Arabidopsis thaliana: one gene and its partner. The protein of the gene in region 2 interacts with the protein of the main gene of each other region in a pairwise test. Each region holds a gene or a part of one and is shown on either strand. Other genes may lie near its edges.

What was found.
Region 1: the proteins of SKdZeta (region 2) and BEH3 interact in binary tests that used the Arabidopsis thaliana proteins (3 or more experiments, as listed by UniProt).

Annotation. Positions count from the first base shown.
Region 1 is NC_003075.7:10,349,411-10,357,985, forward strand, and holds BEH3 (BES1/BZR1 homolog 3), read left to right. Parts: upstream 1-2,975; 5' UTR 2,976-3,363; coding exon 3,364-3,579; exon of another isoform or gene 3,580-4,085; intron 4,086-5,210; coding exon 5,211-5,849; 3' UTR 5,850-6,145; downstream 6,146-8,575. Other genes in the region: AT4G18900 (Transducin/WD40 repeat-like superfamily protein), read left to right, coding at 7,055-7,313, 7,431-7,510, 7,596-7,694, 7,782-7,905, 8,011-8,072, 8,166-8,216, 8,297-8,358, 8,455-8,551.
Region 2 is NC_003071.7:13,179,426-13,188,875, forward strand, and holds SKdZeta (SHAGGY-related protein kinase dZeta), read right to left. Parts: upstream 6,549-9,450; 5' UTR 6,446-6,548; coding exon 6,335-6,445; intron 5,224-6,334; coding exon 5,131-5,223; intron 4,918-5,130; coding exon 4,858-4,917; intron 4,776-4,857; coding exon 4,503-4,775; intron 4,415-4,502; coding exon 4,340-4,414; intron 4,264-4,339; coding exon 4,207-4,263; intron 4,019-4,206; coding exon 3,878-4,018; intron 3,784-3,877; coding exon 3,733-3,783; intron 3,658-3,732; coding exon 3,562-3,657; intron 3,437-3,561; coding exon 3,353-3,436; intron 3,225-3,352; coding exon 3,123-3,224; intron 3,021-3,122; coding exon 2,925-3,020; 3' UTR 2,600-2,924; downstream 1-2,599. Other genes in the region: ASP1 (aspartate aminotransferase 1), read left to right, coding at 1-73, 399-605, 729-834, 919-1,023, 1,121-1,293, 1,493-1,652, 1,778-1,873, 1,965-2,059 and 1 more; AT2G30985 (uncharacterized protein), read left to right, coding at 7,481-7,639; AT2G30990 (arginine N-methyltransferase, putative (DUF688)), read right to left, coding at 8,351-8,380, 8,492-9,277, 9,371-9,450. UniProt on the Arabidopsis thaliana protein: May mediate extracellular signals to regulate transcription in differentiating cells.

The DNA of each region.
Region 1 (8,575 bases), on a different chromosome or scaffold from region 2:
TGTAAAATTCAACGAATCTAGAACCCTTTTAGCATTAAAATCAAAAAGAAGAAACCCTTATTAGCTTCTCGAACCCTCTCTGCTTCTCGAACCTAAACAGCTTCTGGACTTGGGTATATATATTTTAATCAGACAAGAGAATTTCAAGCAGCAATAATTTGTCTGCTTCTGTATCTCTATCTATACCATTATTGCTGCGGAAATATCAGAGAGAGAGAGAGAGACTCTTTGAGGAGAGAAGACCGTAGAAAAGTAAACGAGTCGATTGACCCGGTGGGGATTTACGACGACGACGATTCGTCAAACCTTTCGTCGATTTTTTATATAACTGATTAGCGATTAAAAACGCGTAAACGATAACAAAAAACGAACAGTTTCTGAGGGATTTGTGATTATACGATTTAGCTTTTGATTACAAAAAGGTTGATGAAGCAAGTACGAATCAGAACAGAACAGCTGTTTCATAGTTTTACAAAGATTGGGTTTGGTGGAATGTTTTATTATTTTATTATTATCAAAATCACCCCATGAGATAATGATAGAGCTGTTTTTGGCATAAAGTTTATTTCTTTCAATTATATAAAAATGTGAATAGTCAATGAATATAAGCATAGAGATCTTGTTTGTTTGTTAATGTAGAAGCATTTATGGCCGTAAGAAAATTCGTTGTTGATCTCTTTTTGGGGTTTATAAACTAAAGAAAAGTCTTTGATTTTTATTTGGAGGACACGAAATCGAAAAGTCTTGTTTTGAAGGATATTCAATTGTGTTTGGCATTTGGTAAATATCATGCCTCCTTTAGTTTTTTCTTTTGGGGTTTTTTTTTCTGTCGAACATCTGAATGTTTTTTTTAAATAATTTTGATGTGCATACGTAAACAAAGATTGAATTAAGGCAGTATCGTTAGTGCAAGAAAAAGTCGGATCAAACCTGAAATATTAAAGTGCTTAGCTTATTAATATATGTTAGTGTAAGATCACTACTTAGCTTATTCAAATGCTATTGAAACGGGATTTCTAAATTCATGTCCAACATTAATTCACTACTGTTTGAGGTAAAAGAACATTGTGGTATTAATCCGGTTCGATCGTTGCACAATATTGATATTTCTTTAAAGAAAAATGCACACGTATGTGCTTAGTTCACTGTCCCCGTCAACGCTATATTACAATATTCCAATACCAAAAATCAATTTAAAATGTTTTAAATTAAAATTAATTCTGCTATAGTATTCACATCCAGTAAGACTAAGACACAGTAAAAAAAAAAGGATCAATAACCTAATTACATTATAGAAATCATAGATAACCAAAAATTGTAGATAACCTACATGTAATCGCAAATACGTATAAAAATGTTAAAATTTGTAACATATAATGTGGTTTATTATTGGTTGTGAATAACTTCTACATGGAATTTAAAAATTACTTTGATAAAGATGAAATATATTGTTTCAACTAATTTGGGTCCCAACTATTGTGGTCGGAGTAGGACGAATTGAGTCCTTCGTTAACTTGTAGTGTTATTGAAGTCATATAAACACAAAATTAGACATATTACACAACGTGTGTTAGTTGATATATATACTTAAGTACACCATATATAGAGAGAATAAGGCAAGTGTGGAATGTTGATAGTACTACACAAATATATAGAGATAAAGGCAAGTGTGGAATGTGGATAGTACTACTACAAAATATTTATTAGTGTCGGATAATAAAAGGCATGTGTAGACAAACACACAAATTGTGTTGTACGTTATAAGAAACTTGGAATCAAAGATGTGTTCTATTTAGCAGTGGTACGAATATTTTTATTGGTTGGGTAACAGATGGTATAAATGTCAAAGAATAGCATACTTATTCTAATTGTTGTCACACACACAAAAAAAGCATACTTATTCTAATTACTATACTTAGGCCATCTCCAACGTAACGGTAAAACTGTATTTTGATGTGATGCAATATACTTTTTCACTCCAACCCAACTGTAAATATTACACTATAATAGTGTGATTCCTTTATTTTGTACAGTACTCCACTATATTTGGCGTGCTACTGTAGCAACGGTAAAATTAAATATATATTTTTTTTTACTTTAAAATTATTACATATGAATATAGCTTATTTAGGTATAGCATATTAAATATGATTTGTATTGTCATCTAATAATTTAATTGAATTTTGTAAGTAAAAAAAAAAAATATCAAAACTATTTATGTATTTTTAATTTTGATAATATGATTATGAAATATTAATCAGTAGAAGATATAAAAATTATAACAAAAGATTTATTGAAATTACATAATAAAATTCAATTAACCATTGAAAATATAAACTTACAAAATTTAAAGCTATTTTGATATATAGATTGTAATTTGTATTAATCAATAAATTAAAAATATTAAATATTAAAAATAATATTTGGTTTAATAATATAATAATAGAAAATATTATTTTTAGTGTGATATATAGTGTTGTGGTTGGAGATTGAAAATATTTTAGTGTTGAATCTACACCAAATATAGTGTTATTTCAGCACCAAAATAGTGTTATGGTTGGAGATGCCTTTAAGACTAAAAAGTAATTAATGAAAAAGAGCAAAGGAGTCACGAGCAATGACAAGTTGATGGCAAGCAGATCGAGAGCATCACGTGACCCACCCGATTTAACGGTCATGATTGGATTTTTTGTGATCCCACGAAAGGTGACCTGTCACATTTTGTAGATGCCGCAATCTCTGCCACGTATTTTGGACTCGCAGTTATTTTAGTTAACTACGTAATTAGTTTAGCTAAATTTATATATTAAGTGTAGCATGATTTTATTCATAGTCTCTATTGGATGTGGATAGTCCGTAGTTGGAAAATGCTGTCATTGAATAAGCATAAAGTTGTAAAATGATAAAATTAGTTATTGTAGAAGCTAGATTTTATTATACACAAAAATAGTGTTTGACACAAAAGAAAAGTTATTATAAAAGCAGCTTGATAGTCTTGACCTTTGAATTCTCAAAATGTAAACACAAACTGTGTCGCATTTCGATTTTCCTGCTTTATTAAAAAAGCCTGAGCACGTGTTAACACATATGGGACATCCTTGTAAATTACAACATACTTTAAGGGTAATTTCGTCTTTTCACAATCAGACTTCTTTTTTCTTCACCCTGTTAAGTGCTTCTTCATTTATTACTCCACCAGAAAAAACTCAGAACCAGAAAAAGGAACAAAACAAAAATAAAGCGCGAAATTAGTTTTCACCGGCGAGATTTTTTATCCTCTCTACGAGATAACACTTAGAAGAAGAGGCAGTTAAAACAGAGAGACGACGTCGTGTTATTTTTCCAAATTCCGGTGATCTGAGAATGACGTCGGGGACTAGAACGCCGACTTGGAAAGAGAGAGAGAACAACAAACGGCGAGAGCGGCGAAGACGAGCGATTGCGGCTAAGATCTTCGCAGGACTAAGGATTCATGGAAACTTCAAGCTCCCTAAACACTGCGACAACAATGAAGTCCTCAAAGCTTTATGCAATGAAGCTGGTTGGACTGTAGAAGACGACGGAACTACTTACCGCAAGGTAAACCAAAAAAAAAATCTCGATCCTAAATTTCTTGAAAAATATTATCGATTTTGTAGATTTTTTTAAGGATTATTAAAACTGTGAATAGATCTAACCGTTCGATTTTGCTGAGAGAAAAAAAATCGACGGTTGGGATTTAGTTTGACTGGTTTAGTTAGTCATAGCAAACGTCAGATCGAAACCGTTCCGGTGAACTGAAACAAAAGCATGAATGTCTTAAGATTCGCTGATGCTTTCACACAAACTCTCTGTTCACTTTCAGATGAGAATTATACGTAGTGACCACATTACCCTTACTAATCACATGGTCTTACAATAATATTTAGGGTAATATCGTCATTTAGTGAGGTATTATAGAAAATGTGTAAGCTTTGAGAATTTTTCTTTTTGTGTTTTTCTTTGGTCACACAACCTTTTGCTTTATAATTGAAACTTTAGGACACGTCTGTTTCACGAAAACTGCCATTGGTAATGGGTTTAGATTCCTTTGTACAACGATCGAGGTAAACCTTTTTTTTTTCTTGCTCACATGTTTTTTTTCTTTACTTTTCAGACTGACACTTTCTCTGAAATTCGAATTTTGCTTTTTGTTGAATCATAACTTTTCTTCATTTGCTTACGTTCACACTTACATTAACATAAGATAACTAACCTGTCAAAAAGACTCAAATTTTAGCTTATGTTGCTGTGGATTTAGTATTTACCAGAAAAAGCTATATTGTGTCAAGAAAATAAAAAAGGGACTTGGGATTCTTGGCTCGTGTGATTCAGTAGTTTCCATGAGTGTTTATTTTTGTTTTGTTATATACTTAAATTAGTACTATGTTAACTGTCTTAATTCTTGTTTAGCTGGTCAATGGTGAGACTGAAGAAATGATTTCCCCTTTTGCCAACATCTAATGATGATGTTTGGATTTTGCTTGTGTGGGGATAAATAAAATGGAATTATTCATTGTTTGACCATTAGATGCCAAAGAAAATCATTGTTCTTTTACTTTTTTCTTTCCTTAGTTGCATCTGGATTTTCAATTTTTCAATCATTGTGTCATCTTGTTCGTTGCTCACCAGCTTTTGCATTTCGTAAAATGGAAAAAGAAAAAAAAAACACATTTTTATGTAAATAATCTATGAGGTATTCTCGATCCATTTAGCAAAGATTAGTTCTTTGAGCACTATATACCAAATAAAATCATTGTTTTTTCTCACTTTTTTGCTTAGGTGCATTTTGGTTTTCAACTATCAATCATAGTGCTATCTTGTTCATGCTCTACAGCTCTTACATTTCGTTAAAAAGAAAGAAAAAAAAACATTTTATGCTCTTTTTGTTGTTGTTGATAATCTATTAGAAAAGATTGTTCTTTTGAGATCTTCTGATCCATCCATTAGCAAATGTTGTTCTTTGACCATTATAAAACGAAACAGAATCATTGTTCTTTACTTTTTTTTTTCCTTTGTGCATTTGGATTTTCTATTATCAATCATAATGTCTTTTTGTTTGTTGCTCACCAGCTTTTGCATTATGTAATTAATCCACTAGCAAAAGATTGAGAGAGTCTCAGCTCCAAATGGATTGTGTTGGTTACATTTTGTGATATTTCTTACACAATTTGCAATAAACTATTGTGTAGGGATGCAAACCAATGGATCGAATGGACCTCATGAATGGTTCTACTTCAGCTAGTCCATGCTCATCGTATCAACATAGCCCTCGTGCTTCCTACAATCCAAGCCCTTCGTCTTCATCATTCCCGAGTCCTACAAACCCATTTGGTGATGCTAACTCACTAATCCCATGGCTCAAGAACCTCTCTTCAAACTCACCTTCCAAGCTTCCCTTCTTCCATGGAAATTCAATAAGCGCTCCCGTGACTCCGCCATTGGCTCGAAGCCCTACTCGTGATCAAGTAACCATCCCTGACTCTGGATGGCTCTCAGGAATGCAAACTCCGCAGAGCGGACCGTCTTCTCCTACTTTCAGTTTAGTTTCAAGAAACCCGTTTTTCGACAAAGAGGCTTTTAAAATGGGAGATTGTAATTCACCAATGTGGACTCCTGGACAAAGTGGAAACTGCTCTCCAGCTATTCCTGCTGGTGTTGATCAGAACTCTGATGTGCCAATGGCTGATGGAATGACGGCTGAGTTTGCGTTTGGTTGTAACGCAATGGCTGCGAATGGAATGGTGAAGCCTTGGGAAGGAGAAAGGATACATGGAGAATGTGTTTCAGATGATTTAGAACTTACACTTGGAAACTCAAGAACCAGATGATCATTTCAGAGAAGAATCAAAGTCGTTTGCTATCATTAAGTCTTCTTTTTTGTCTGTCTTTTTTTTCCAGTGTGATGTTTAAAGGTGACTCAGAGGAAAAAAAGGAGAATAGAAAGAGAAACAAAAAAAGAACATTTTGAGCTCTGTTTTCTTTTTTTTTTTTCTTTTTTTTTTTGTTGGCTTTTGACTAAAGTTGTAGTTAGAATCTATTTTATATCTTGAAGCTTCTTTAAAAAAAAAGTTATTTGTGGAAATTCGATTTGAGATTAGTGATGTTAGTATAATGAATTTTATATAAAATATTGAAGCCAGATTGGACTTTAGTAACCATTGTGAACGTGAGAAAATATCAGTATCTATCGCTGAAAATTTTATATTTTTCTATACATTTAAAAGATAACAGAAAAGTGGATTACGTTGAAAGACCAAAGATATGTCCAAGAAGTCATGCGTAACCCAATAGAAAGTCAACTAACAATGAGGACCACATGTGATTGGTCTTGTTAATTAGCGTACGTAAAACGCGACACTATGACAACTCGTACGTAATTTCGCGAATAATATGAATAGTAACTTCAACTGGACTATTTTACAAGTCAACAAATTACTTAGTGGATCCAATTTAAATGTCCAATTGTTCTTATTTGGCTAAAAATGAGGCCCATATATACATAATTTTTTTATATGATTTATTTTTTAATGAATTTATTTAAGAGTATGTAAACAGAACCCTCGCTCTCTCTCGCTAATTTGGATAGATACCTCCGAGCAAGGGTTAAGTGTAAGCCTCGTTTGTATTTGTAACGTAAGTTGTCATCATCGTAAAGAGTTAATCAGGTTAATTATTTTCTTTAGTAAGGAATGTGTTTTACCCGATTCTTCTATCATTATGTTATCTTTGTTGTTGAACCTCTCGATTCTCGACCTTGGATTTTGAAAATTGGTATAATTATTATTTGACCCTTTTTGTTTGTTATGCTTTTCTTTGTGTGTGTGTGTGTGTGTTTATTTGGTTATTGTAATCTTTGGGAATTCTTGTTTTGAGTGGTTTTGGAAGATGTGTCGTGTTAGATGGGGATTTCGTTAGGGTTTCTGTGAGCTAAAAAAGGGTGTATGTTTCTTTCCCTAATTGATTTTCGTTTGTAAATTTATTTTGCAGAATGATAACTACATTTTCATGGATACCAAAAGGGGTTGCAAAGGCCATGCGTGCTGATGAACTTCCTTCTAAGGAGGAAATCGAAATGCACAAAGACAGTTGTAAATATTTCAGTAATGATACAGAAGAAGAAGAGACCGAGGATGAAGAAGAGAATGGTGAAGTTGCTCATGCGAAAGCCGTAGCAGAAGAGTTTGGAAAATCATCCAAAAGCAAGAATGTTTCTTCTTCAATGGAGCTTGATGATGAGGTAGCTGAGGGTTTGAAAGAACTCGACATGGATAATTACGATGAAGAGGATGATGGTAAGTTAGGTTTTAATTCTTTGTTCTCCTATAGATGTGTAGAGAATCTCAAAACTCAATTTATGCTTTCATTGTGTACAACTAAATTAGACTTTCCATTGTTGTGTTTGGATTCAGGAATTGAAATTTTTAGCTCCGGGCGTGGGGATCTTTACTATAAGAGTAACGAGATGGATCCATATCTCAAGAGAAATGATGTAAGTCCTTATCACTAAACTTTTTTTTTATATACAGAGTTACCGGATTTTCTATATAGACACAATAACATCTATGTTTTTCTAGGATCATGATGATGACTCGGATGATGATCCACCAATCTTACCAACCGATTTAGTGATTGTCTGCGCTATGACTGACGACAAAGAAGCTAACCGTCTTGACGTTTGTCAATTATTTCAACATTTTATTTATTTATTTTACTGCACATATATAGATCCGACATTGAAACTTATATGAATGCATGATTAGGTTTATGTATCCGAGGACACATCCCATGGTTCTCCAAATATGTATAATCATCATTACAGAATTATACCAGCAATTCCATTGTGTACTGCTTGGCTTGATTGTCCACTTAAAGGAGGAGAAAGAGGTTAGTGAAAATGTGTCACTAAAAGTCTTATGAATTAAACCAACTAGGCTCTTTCATTCTTGCTATAAAAATGTTACTGAATATCTTTGAGTTTCTTATTGGTAGGGAATTTCCTAGCTGTTGGTTCGGATGGGACGCCAACAATAGAGATATGGGATCTTGATGCTGTATGTAAAACTAAACTGTCTTTTTGCATTTTGTTTCTTTCATAATCATGAAATACTATATTTTAATTTAAAATTGATGATATAATGCTTCAGTGGTTCGACATGCTACCTTGTGTACAACTAGGAGGACAAAACAAGGAAGGGGTGAGTATTTCATTTGGTTTAACTGCAACAGAAAAATGTACTAAATGTAATCATTCTTTTGATTTCTCGTCTTGTCTTAGAACTATAAACAAGGTAGCCACACTAGATCAGTTCTTGGTCTTGCTTGGAATAAGGAGTTTCGGTATGTCCATGACTGAATCTATTTCTTCCGCGACTTGCTCTTCTCTATAGACGTACGTGTCTGAGTTTATGTTTCTTTTTTTTCCGGACAAAAAAGGAATATACTTGCTAGTGCTAGTGCCGACAAAAAAGTTAAGGTATGGGATGTGGCTACTGGAACGTGTAAGATTACTATGGAGCATCACACAAAGGAGGTAAGAACAAGATTCGTAGAACTA
Region 2 (9,450 bases):
ATGATAATGGGAAGCCTGTTGTCTTGGAATGTGTCAGAGAAGCTGAGAAAAGGCTTGCTGGGAGCACTTTCATGTAAGAGTTTCTCTTTCTCTCCCCAAATGATCTAACTTTAATGCTTCTCTGTTCATTGACATGAATTGATTGTCAAGTTTTGAAATCTTCTTGTACAGTTGGTGAAGTTCTTGAATTGTAACTGACGAAAAGTATGTGTGATTTGTTGACATAACTTGTTAAATATTGTAGGTCTTATTAGCCCTTTTGAATATGGTTGTGTTTGACTATGTGGTGCTTAATTTGTATCCTTCATATTAAAAAAGATCAACATCAGCAATTATCTCATTGTCCCATATTTCACCAGACTGATCTGAGCTGTCTTTATTGTATTAATCATCTAAAGGGAGTACCTTCCTATGGGAGGAAGTGCCAAAATGGTGGACCTAACATTGAAGCTTGCCTATGGGGACAATAGTGAATTTATCAAAGATAAAAGAATTGCTGCAGTTCAGACTCTGTCTGGCACTGGAGCCTGCCGGCTCTTTGCAGACTTCCAGAAACGTTTTTCTCCTGGTTCACAGATCTACATTCCTGTTCCAACCTGGTCCAAGTGAGTTTCCTACAGTTGATTTGATCATTTCTCATGTTAACCTCAACGGTCTACTTTGTAAGTGTGGCCAAGCTTCTTTTGCTTCCCAAAAATAACATGGTTTATGTTTTCTCTTATGAATAGCCACCACAACATCTGGAAAGATGCACAAGTCCCTCAAAAGACATATCATTACTATCATCCAGAAACCAAGGGCTTGGATTTCTCAGCATTGATGGATGATGTGAAGGTTAGCAAAGAACATCTTCTTCAACTAGCATCTTTTTTACTTCTTCTTGTTAACATCCTAATTCTGTTAAGCCTTTTTCCATAGAATGCTCCGGAAGGGTCATTCTTCCTTCTTCATGCTTGTGCTCATAATCCTACTGGAGTAGACCCTACAGAGGAACAATGGAGAGAGATATCACAGCTATTCAAGGTGATAACTCATCAGTTTCTTATAGTTATCTGTCTATCATTGACTTTATTTCTCCTTGATCAGCCCTCTGCAGACTAACATCGAGTTCTCATTTCAGGCTAAAAAGCATTTCGCATTCTTCGATATGGCTTACCAAGGTTTTGCTAGTGGAGATCCAGCGAGAGATGCCAAGTCCATCAGGATCTTTCTTGAAGATGGTCATCATATTGGAATTTCTCAGTCCTATGCAAAAAACATGGGACTCTACGGCCAGAGGGTGGGATGTCTCAGGTATTCATTTTTCTCAACAAAGAACATCGTTTTCTTCCTACACGAAGGAAAATATGGAAATTAGAAAGTACAGATATCAGCATTTTAAAAATTTGGATTGTAGGCGTCAACAAATTGTATGAAATAGCCATCATACAGGTTCATTTAGTGATGAAGTAAAAACTGAATATGAACATGACAACTTTGTCTTCTACTGCAGTGTGCTTTGTGAAGATCCGAAGCAAGCCGTGGCTGTGAAAAGTCAATTGCAGCAGCTAGCTAGACCAATGTACAGCAACCCACCTTTGCATGGTGCTCAGCTGGTCTCAACCATTCTTGAAGACCCAGAGTTAAAGAGTCTGTGGCTAAAAGAAGTTAAGGTAACATTTATGAAAAAATGCTAATTCTTTCATTCAATTACCTTATATCCCATGTTCACTCTTTTATGTTTAGTAATCAACTATGGAATTAAAATCTGATAAGCCATATGTAAAATCTGTAACAGGTCATGGCTGATAGGATCATCGGCATGAGAACTACTTTGCGAGAAAGCCTTGAGAAGTTAGGATCGCCTTTGTCATGGGAGCACGTTACCAAACAGGTAACTACAACAACAAAATAGGCTTCTTTTGTGAAATTCTTGTTATTTCTCTCCTTTGACTCACACAGTCATATCTTTATGGTGATAACAGATTGGAATGTTCTGCTACAGTGGGTTAACACCAGAACAGGTTGACCGCTTAACAAGCGAATATCACATCTATATGACCCGTAACGGCCGTATCAGGTACTTCACTTTCTCCTGATTAGAAATCTTTCAGCTCACATTCAATGCAATCCATTTCCTAACATCAACATGCTTAATTTCAATGCAAGCCATTTCCTAATCATTGAGGCTCTTGATGTTTGGTTGCAGTATGGCTGGTGTTACAACAGGAAACGTGGGATACCTTGCGAATGCTATACATGAAGTCACCAAGTCATCTTAAATCATTTACTTACATGTTTCAGCCAAACATACAAATTTTGTTTGAAGAGTCAATAAGACAGGAGGCTAGATTTGTACTTCTGCAATTGGTTTTGTGGGAACTGAAAGTTTACCCATAAACAGTAATTTATTAGCGCATTTTTTCGTTAGCTGGGCAATAAAAGCAAAGCCTAAACGATGGATTTTTGGATATACAAAATTCGGATTGTTTTCTTTCTTCTCAATTGCTCTTTTTGTGCTTGTTTCCTTTCAACGTTACAATGCCAATGCTGGCAAAATTTTATCCTCAAGCTCATTGATTTCAAATGTTTTTAGTTTTTACTTTTACCGTAGGCAACTTTAGATTATCATGATTTCATTTCATCATTTCGGTTATTTGACTTGCAGTTTGGAATCGATTTTGTTTCATTTCAAGGACAAAAACATATACAAATACTGATACAGGAGAAAAGTATCTCTCTACAAGTCAGTGAACAAAAAGAATATAATAGGACACAATCATCGCCTCCTGATTTCTCAAAAAGCTGAATTGGCCACGTCTAAGGAGGAGACATCATCTCTTCTCAGAAGCTGATACTTAGTTAATCAGAGAGAAGTAAATCTCCCTCTCCTTCATTCCATAAGGCGGCATTTTGCTCTGGAAAAGCATCTCGAGATCGCTTTTCTAGGGTCCAGCTTGAAATGGAAAGCCACCATTCATCTGTCGCCTCACATGCTCTGGTATTAGCCTGTTGATAAGCTCCGGTGAAGCCCCAGACAACTGTTTCAATAGTCAAAGAGAGAGCTAACAGATTGAGTAACTGTATGCACATTCAGTTATGTTTGGTTGAAGGAAAAGTGATTTTGGAATGGTTTAACATACCTCTTGTTTGAAGTTGAACAACGGTGGTAGAGGTCGGCCATTTGGAAGACGAGCATTTGGCTCACGGAGTTCATTGAAAAACGGATGCGCACATGCCTCGAGCTTCAGACGGCAAACAAACAAGTCAGTTGAAAAACAACATTTCACTCCTTCATTGAACAGTGTATGGTCCAAAGAAGCCAGAGAGAACCACTGTAACAATTAAGAGTACTTGGTTTAGAAATACCAACCGCAGTGCAACGTAGACTTGGTGAGTATTGAAGAAGCCGAGATGCAAGGTCAATGGCTTCCGGAGGCATCCGCTTGTGGAAAACCTGGAGGTCATAGAGCAGTTGTGCACCGTGTTAGCTTCTTTTCCATGAATGTTGTTTAGGTAGAGAAGTAAGCAATTGTATGATTAGAAAGAAGTTCGAAAGTGACATGCATATATATATATTACCTTATGCCAAGGGTGGGCTTTGATTTGTGGGAATCTGAAGTCTGTGTAGTTTGGGTTCATGCACCGGATTTCTTCGCGAGTTGGAGTACCAAGAACCTAAACCAACACAGCACATCATGAGCACAGACAGGAAATGACGCCAAAACAAAATATAATAAAAGAAGAGTTCACCTTTATGATCTCCACTAGCTGGTCCACAGAATTTTCTCCCGGGAATAACGGCTGTGAAGATAAATAATACCACATTGTTTACAGAAGATTTTGGAGAGATGCTTTAGTTCTCAAGATACTCAACAGGTTAGAAATTTACACTAACCTGCCCAAGAAGTAGCTCTGCCAGAACACAACCAGCAGACCATATATCAATGGATGATGTATACTCTGTGGCACCAAAGATGAGTTCTGGAGCTCGGTAATACCGAGAGCAGATATATGATATGTTTGCTTCACCTTTCACCTAATATAAAAAGCCAAATGTTGCAAATATCAGGCTAACAGAGAAATATCTGAAACTGCATCCATACTTATGTAAATTACTTGCATAATATTCACTTAATTGGAGTTTTTAACTACTGCATGCAAAGACACAAGCACAGTGGAAAAGACAAACAACAAATGGGGTAAATAAAAGTCTAAACCTCTTACCAGTACTTTTGCACTTCCAAAATCACAGAGCTTACACTGATGGGTGAGGGGATCAACCTACAGAACATACAGAGAATAAGATTACAATCTAGTCAAGGTTACCAAAGACAAAACCCACAATAGATCAACGTACCAAAAGATTTTGTGGTTTCACATCTCTGTGGCAGACACCAGGAGCAGTATGGATATAAGCCAAGCCTCTGAAGATCTGCACAACATATTTTATAAACAGTTTTAGGATAAACACAACAGAGTAAAGAGTATTTATTGGGGAAAGAGTAGATAACAATGCATACTTGGTATGTGTAAAGTTTGACATAGAAGATAGGCATCCGCTGGTTTGAACTAGTATAGTGCTTCAAAACCCGGTACAATGTCTCTGGTACATACTCCATAACGAGATTGAGGAAGAGCTCATCTCTAGTCGTTGTAGAGAAGAAACAATGCTTCAAGGAAACCACATTTGGATGGTCCATTAGTCGCATTAATTGCAACTCTCGGTTTTTATAACGGCGATCTTGCAAAACCTTCTTAATGGCTACTGATTCTCCAGTTTCCAAGCATTTTGCCTAGAATGGTAAGTTAACAATCTGATCAGAAAGGAAAGACAAAAAGCCATTTGCCTGTAGACAGTGACAAGCACAATGATACCTGGAATACAATTCCGAATGATCCTGTTCCAACAACACGTTCGGCCATGTAACTAATGGTCTGTAAAGGCCAGAGGGATGAAAACATTAGAGAGTAGAACTTAGAGTTGGAAAAAAGGAGCCACAAAGTCAAAAGATGTAAAAACCTATTTATTTATTTGTTGAATTTCTATAGATTAATCCAAACCTTAGGTAACCTTATACATGGTAGTGTGCTCGAGCAATAACTATGATTTAAATCATTACAAAGATTTAATAAACAACAGAATCCAACCTGTTTAGGTTCACCATTTTTGCCTCCAATTGTAGTAGAAATTATGTGACCGGTAACAGCATCATTTCCTTCTATAACAGCAGCAGACATTTCCTAAAATCAAACGTGAACATATTATTACAGGAGTTAAAACTATTCTTGTCTACAAAGAATGAAGGAAAGTAGTAACAATTAGTGTTTCCTCCGATGTATATTGATTGAATAGACAAATAATTCAAAATATTCGAATCGTTTTTCAATCAGTTCTATCAAGTGTATGAAATCTTCCAGAATATAAACTTTCCTTTAAAATAGCATTCAAATCTAAGAACAGTCAATGCCCAATTTACAGAGAATTCAATCATGTAAGATAACTAAATGTAAATCTAAATGATGTCGCAAGTTCCTGTTGACCAGAGGCTAACAAAATTCAGAAAACAAATGCATACTACTATACTAGTTGTTACAGGTAAAGGAAAGCTAAAAAATGATAACTGTAACTTCAAGAGTAGAGAAAGATTAAGATGTCAACCATTTTGTGGACATAAGAAACTTGTACAAAATCAAAAGATACAATCAGACACAACATGGAACAGACACTGTCAGGTGGAGAAACAAAGCAAAAGAACATAAAACAAAAGAAAAGAGTTCAGAATCAATACAGAATGGGCCAAGAATCATATAATCTAAACGAATACTCCAAAAACTGTCAGGAAAAAGAAGAAAAAAAACTCGAAGATACACAAGTACTTTGTGAAGTCAAAAGTGTTAAATTTAACACCCAAACTATGAGGTTACTTCTTTAGGGTTCAAAGGGTTATTACTAGAAAATTTCTGTTATTTACCCTAATTTCTTCTTTAGGGTTCGAAGGTTTACTGCTACTAATCAAAAACAGCTCAAGAGATCAATCTTCACTACAAAAAAGGTTGAAAATTTCAGCTGAAGAAAAGTAAAACTAGCTACTATGAAGTCAAAATGCACAATCTTCAATGAGCTCAAATCAAGAACGCTGACTAAAAAGGAACACAGATCGATTGACTAACACATCGAAACAAGCAAAATCCGAGCTAGATCTAGAAAACCCACAAAACGAAAATTGAAATACATTGTTCACGAAAGAATCAATCAGAGAGAGAGAGAGAGAGAGAGAGAGAGAGAGAGAGAGAGAGAGAGAGAGAGAGATACACACAAACGTTTCAAGTTATAAGAGAAGAAAAAACTAACCTTGTCGTTGTCTATATCGGGACGACGTTTCAAAGAATCTCCGCCGTGAAGATGCGGCGGCTGAGGAGCTAAAGACGGAGGCTGAGGAGGCCCCAATGGTATCGAAGTCATGTGCTTTTACAGCTCTAACTTCTCTCTCTCACTGAAAGAGTAAAGACTATTTTGTTCTCTCTCTATTACCTGGTGTTCTGTCTAAACTTGAGAAAATTTTTAAAGATAAAGAGGAAACCCACGCGTAAGTTTAGCGCGTGATTCTTACGCTCCAATGAAACACTAATCTGTTTATTAAGTAGTCATTATTTAATAAGCACAGTGATTGGTGAAGTGAAAAGTCTGATAACTCCGTAATAATACCATAATGCAATTTATTGTGGAGATTACTACATTCACACAATCAGATAATTTGGGTAAACTAACAACAACTACTCTCTTTCAGATTAATAGTTGTTTTGGAGTTTTACCACAATTTTAAAAACTCTTTAATCTATCTACTAATATAAATTGTTTACAGTATTCATTCTAGTTTTTTTAACAGTTTTTATTCGCTATCGGTAAACTCTTTGAATGGAAAAATATTGGCTTACGTTACGTATGTGTTTTCTGAATCTTGAATCTTCTAAGTTTTTGTCATTTTAGAAAAAAAATTGGTGTTCTCTGGAGCCAGATGGCTACATATTTGACTTTTAATATTTGGTCCAATTTAAAGGATGGATAAAAGTCTTAGAATAAGGGGAGTGGACTTAGCACATGGACGAATGACGATCATAATCAATTTCTTGGAACATTTTGTTTAATAATAACTCGCTATTTGGATTCCAACGACCAACACTATGGACAAATAACATCAAAACAATGTTAAAATATATACATACAAAAACTATGATTGAGATATATTTTTCTCTTGTATACATCATGACATGATATATTTACGTCGAAATTTTCTTTTAACATGATATGGTGATAAAATTATTCATTAAGATGATTAGTTTGTGCAGAAAAAATACAAACGATGGAACTATTAAAGTAGAATGAAACTGATAGTAGGATGATGCAAGAATCGGATCCGATCATACTAATATCAAATAGATATTTGATTTTACTTTAGCATAACGATAATAAGATTAGGCACATGTTGTTCTTTAGGTAATGCCTAGATGTTCTAAGCAAATTGGTCATAAATTCAAATACGTACGGAAACAGTACCCAAGTGATATATCTACTTATCTAGCAACCCCCTCCTCCTCCACCACCATCACCACTGCAACCGCCAAAAACGCCACCTTTACAGCAGCAACAGCAACTTGAATCCTTCTTCTTTTCCTTCTTTTTGGAGCAAGCAAATACGGCCATGGTTACAAGTAACAACGACAGAAGAAACATGAAAATCAAGAACAAAACACCCCCAAAAGCAGCAGCTTCTTTCATGTCAAACTAACTGATAAAGAAACCTCTCACTCTCTCTCTATATTGTTTTTTAAATTTCTCTTCACTCATATATTTGCATGTGATCTTCCATGCCACTATATATATAAAGAGAATAAGAGATGAAATGTGAACATTTTCACACCAATATTGTTTCAATAATTCCTCTAGTGACTAATTTAGTCAAGGTATTCAATTCAATTCAATTCTGCAGCTTTCAAGTTTCCTTTCTAGTGAGCTCTATATTTTGAAACCATAATTACAAAAGAACGAAAAAAAAAAGTCTATTAGTAGAGAATAAAGAAGCAGTGTCACATGGAATTATTGCCATGAAATCTCCGTTAACATGAGCTGTACATCACTTCAACAAGAAACCTCTCCTTAAGTGCCAGACAATATTTAAGACATTTATCTCCATTGCTTTCTCTTTATCATGGAATCTTTTTGATTCAGATTTACACAAATAGTTAAAGACAAAATACCCAAACTTTATTGGCTCATCCCTTCTTTATTGTTGAAAATTTACATGTAATTTGGTGTGAAAAATTTTACAGTTTCTTCATTACCACCAGTGAGAATTTTGTTTTGGTCTTGCTATGACTCTGGTATAGGGTTTAGTGTTTCCTGAAAGAACAAAACAGGATCAACAAGTATTAACACATTTTGCCAAGCATTGACTTTGAAAATTAAGACACATTTGTGAAAGTATTGGACGTTTCTTTTTTTTTTTTTTACCTTGGAGAAGCACACAAACCCTTGCTGTGTATTGGACGTTTTGACCATAGTTTCCCACTTTGGATTAGCTTGAGTCTTGGTAAAGTGATTATCATCATCAGTGCCAAGAGACTGTAACCATGCGAATGAGTTGTTTTTTGGTGGTATTGTTGGTAATGTACGCTTTAACCAAGAATCTGAAGGAGCTTTTGGTAATGGTGGTGGAGGAACAATGAGATAACTTGAACGATGATGAAGCCTTGAACTTTCAATATTTGTTGTGATTACTTGCAACTGAACTTCAAGATCAATCTTCTTCTCCTTTGTAATCTCTACCACATCGGATTCTGGCAGTGCAACAATAGCTTGATGATCAGGACATTCTTCAACTTTCTGACTTGAGAATTTAGTGAAATCCTCATCTCTGTTACCATTCTCTTGCTCAATGCTTTTAGGCTGCGAGATATCAGCTTCTTCATCTTTTACAGGAACAATGTCTAGTGAAGGAGACTCTTTCAATATAGGCTGCTTCTTGGACTCTTCTTGTACCTTCTTATCTACTAGATGCACAATGTCTACATACAGAGTTTTCTCTGCCACAGGAGTCTCGGATGAAGGTTCCCATGTATTCTCATCACTAGCCAAGAGCTCACCAAAGTTTTTACTGATTTTACTGCGTGAAGCGGTGCCAACGTTCTCGAGTTTCTCTTTTCCTTGTGGTATAGAAGATACTGATAATGACTCACCTTGAGAAGACCCTTTTGCAACTGATTCAATTAGCTTCAACTTCCTCTTATCTTCATTTTGCTATAGAGAGAAAAATATAAAAGAAATTTGATGAGAGAAAAGGTCTCAGTGTAATGATGAACGAGGTGGCGAGAAGGAGAGGGAATCAATTACCTTGTTATGAGTTTCATTAGAAGGTGCAGAATCTTGGTACTTAGACCGCATACGACGAACAGAAACAGCTCTTTGTTGCT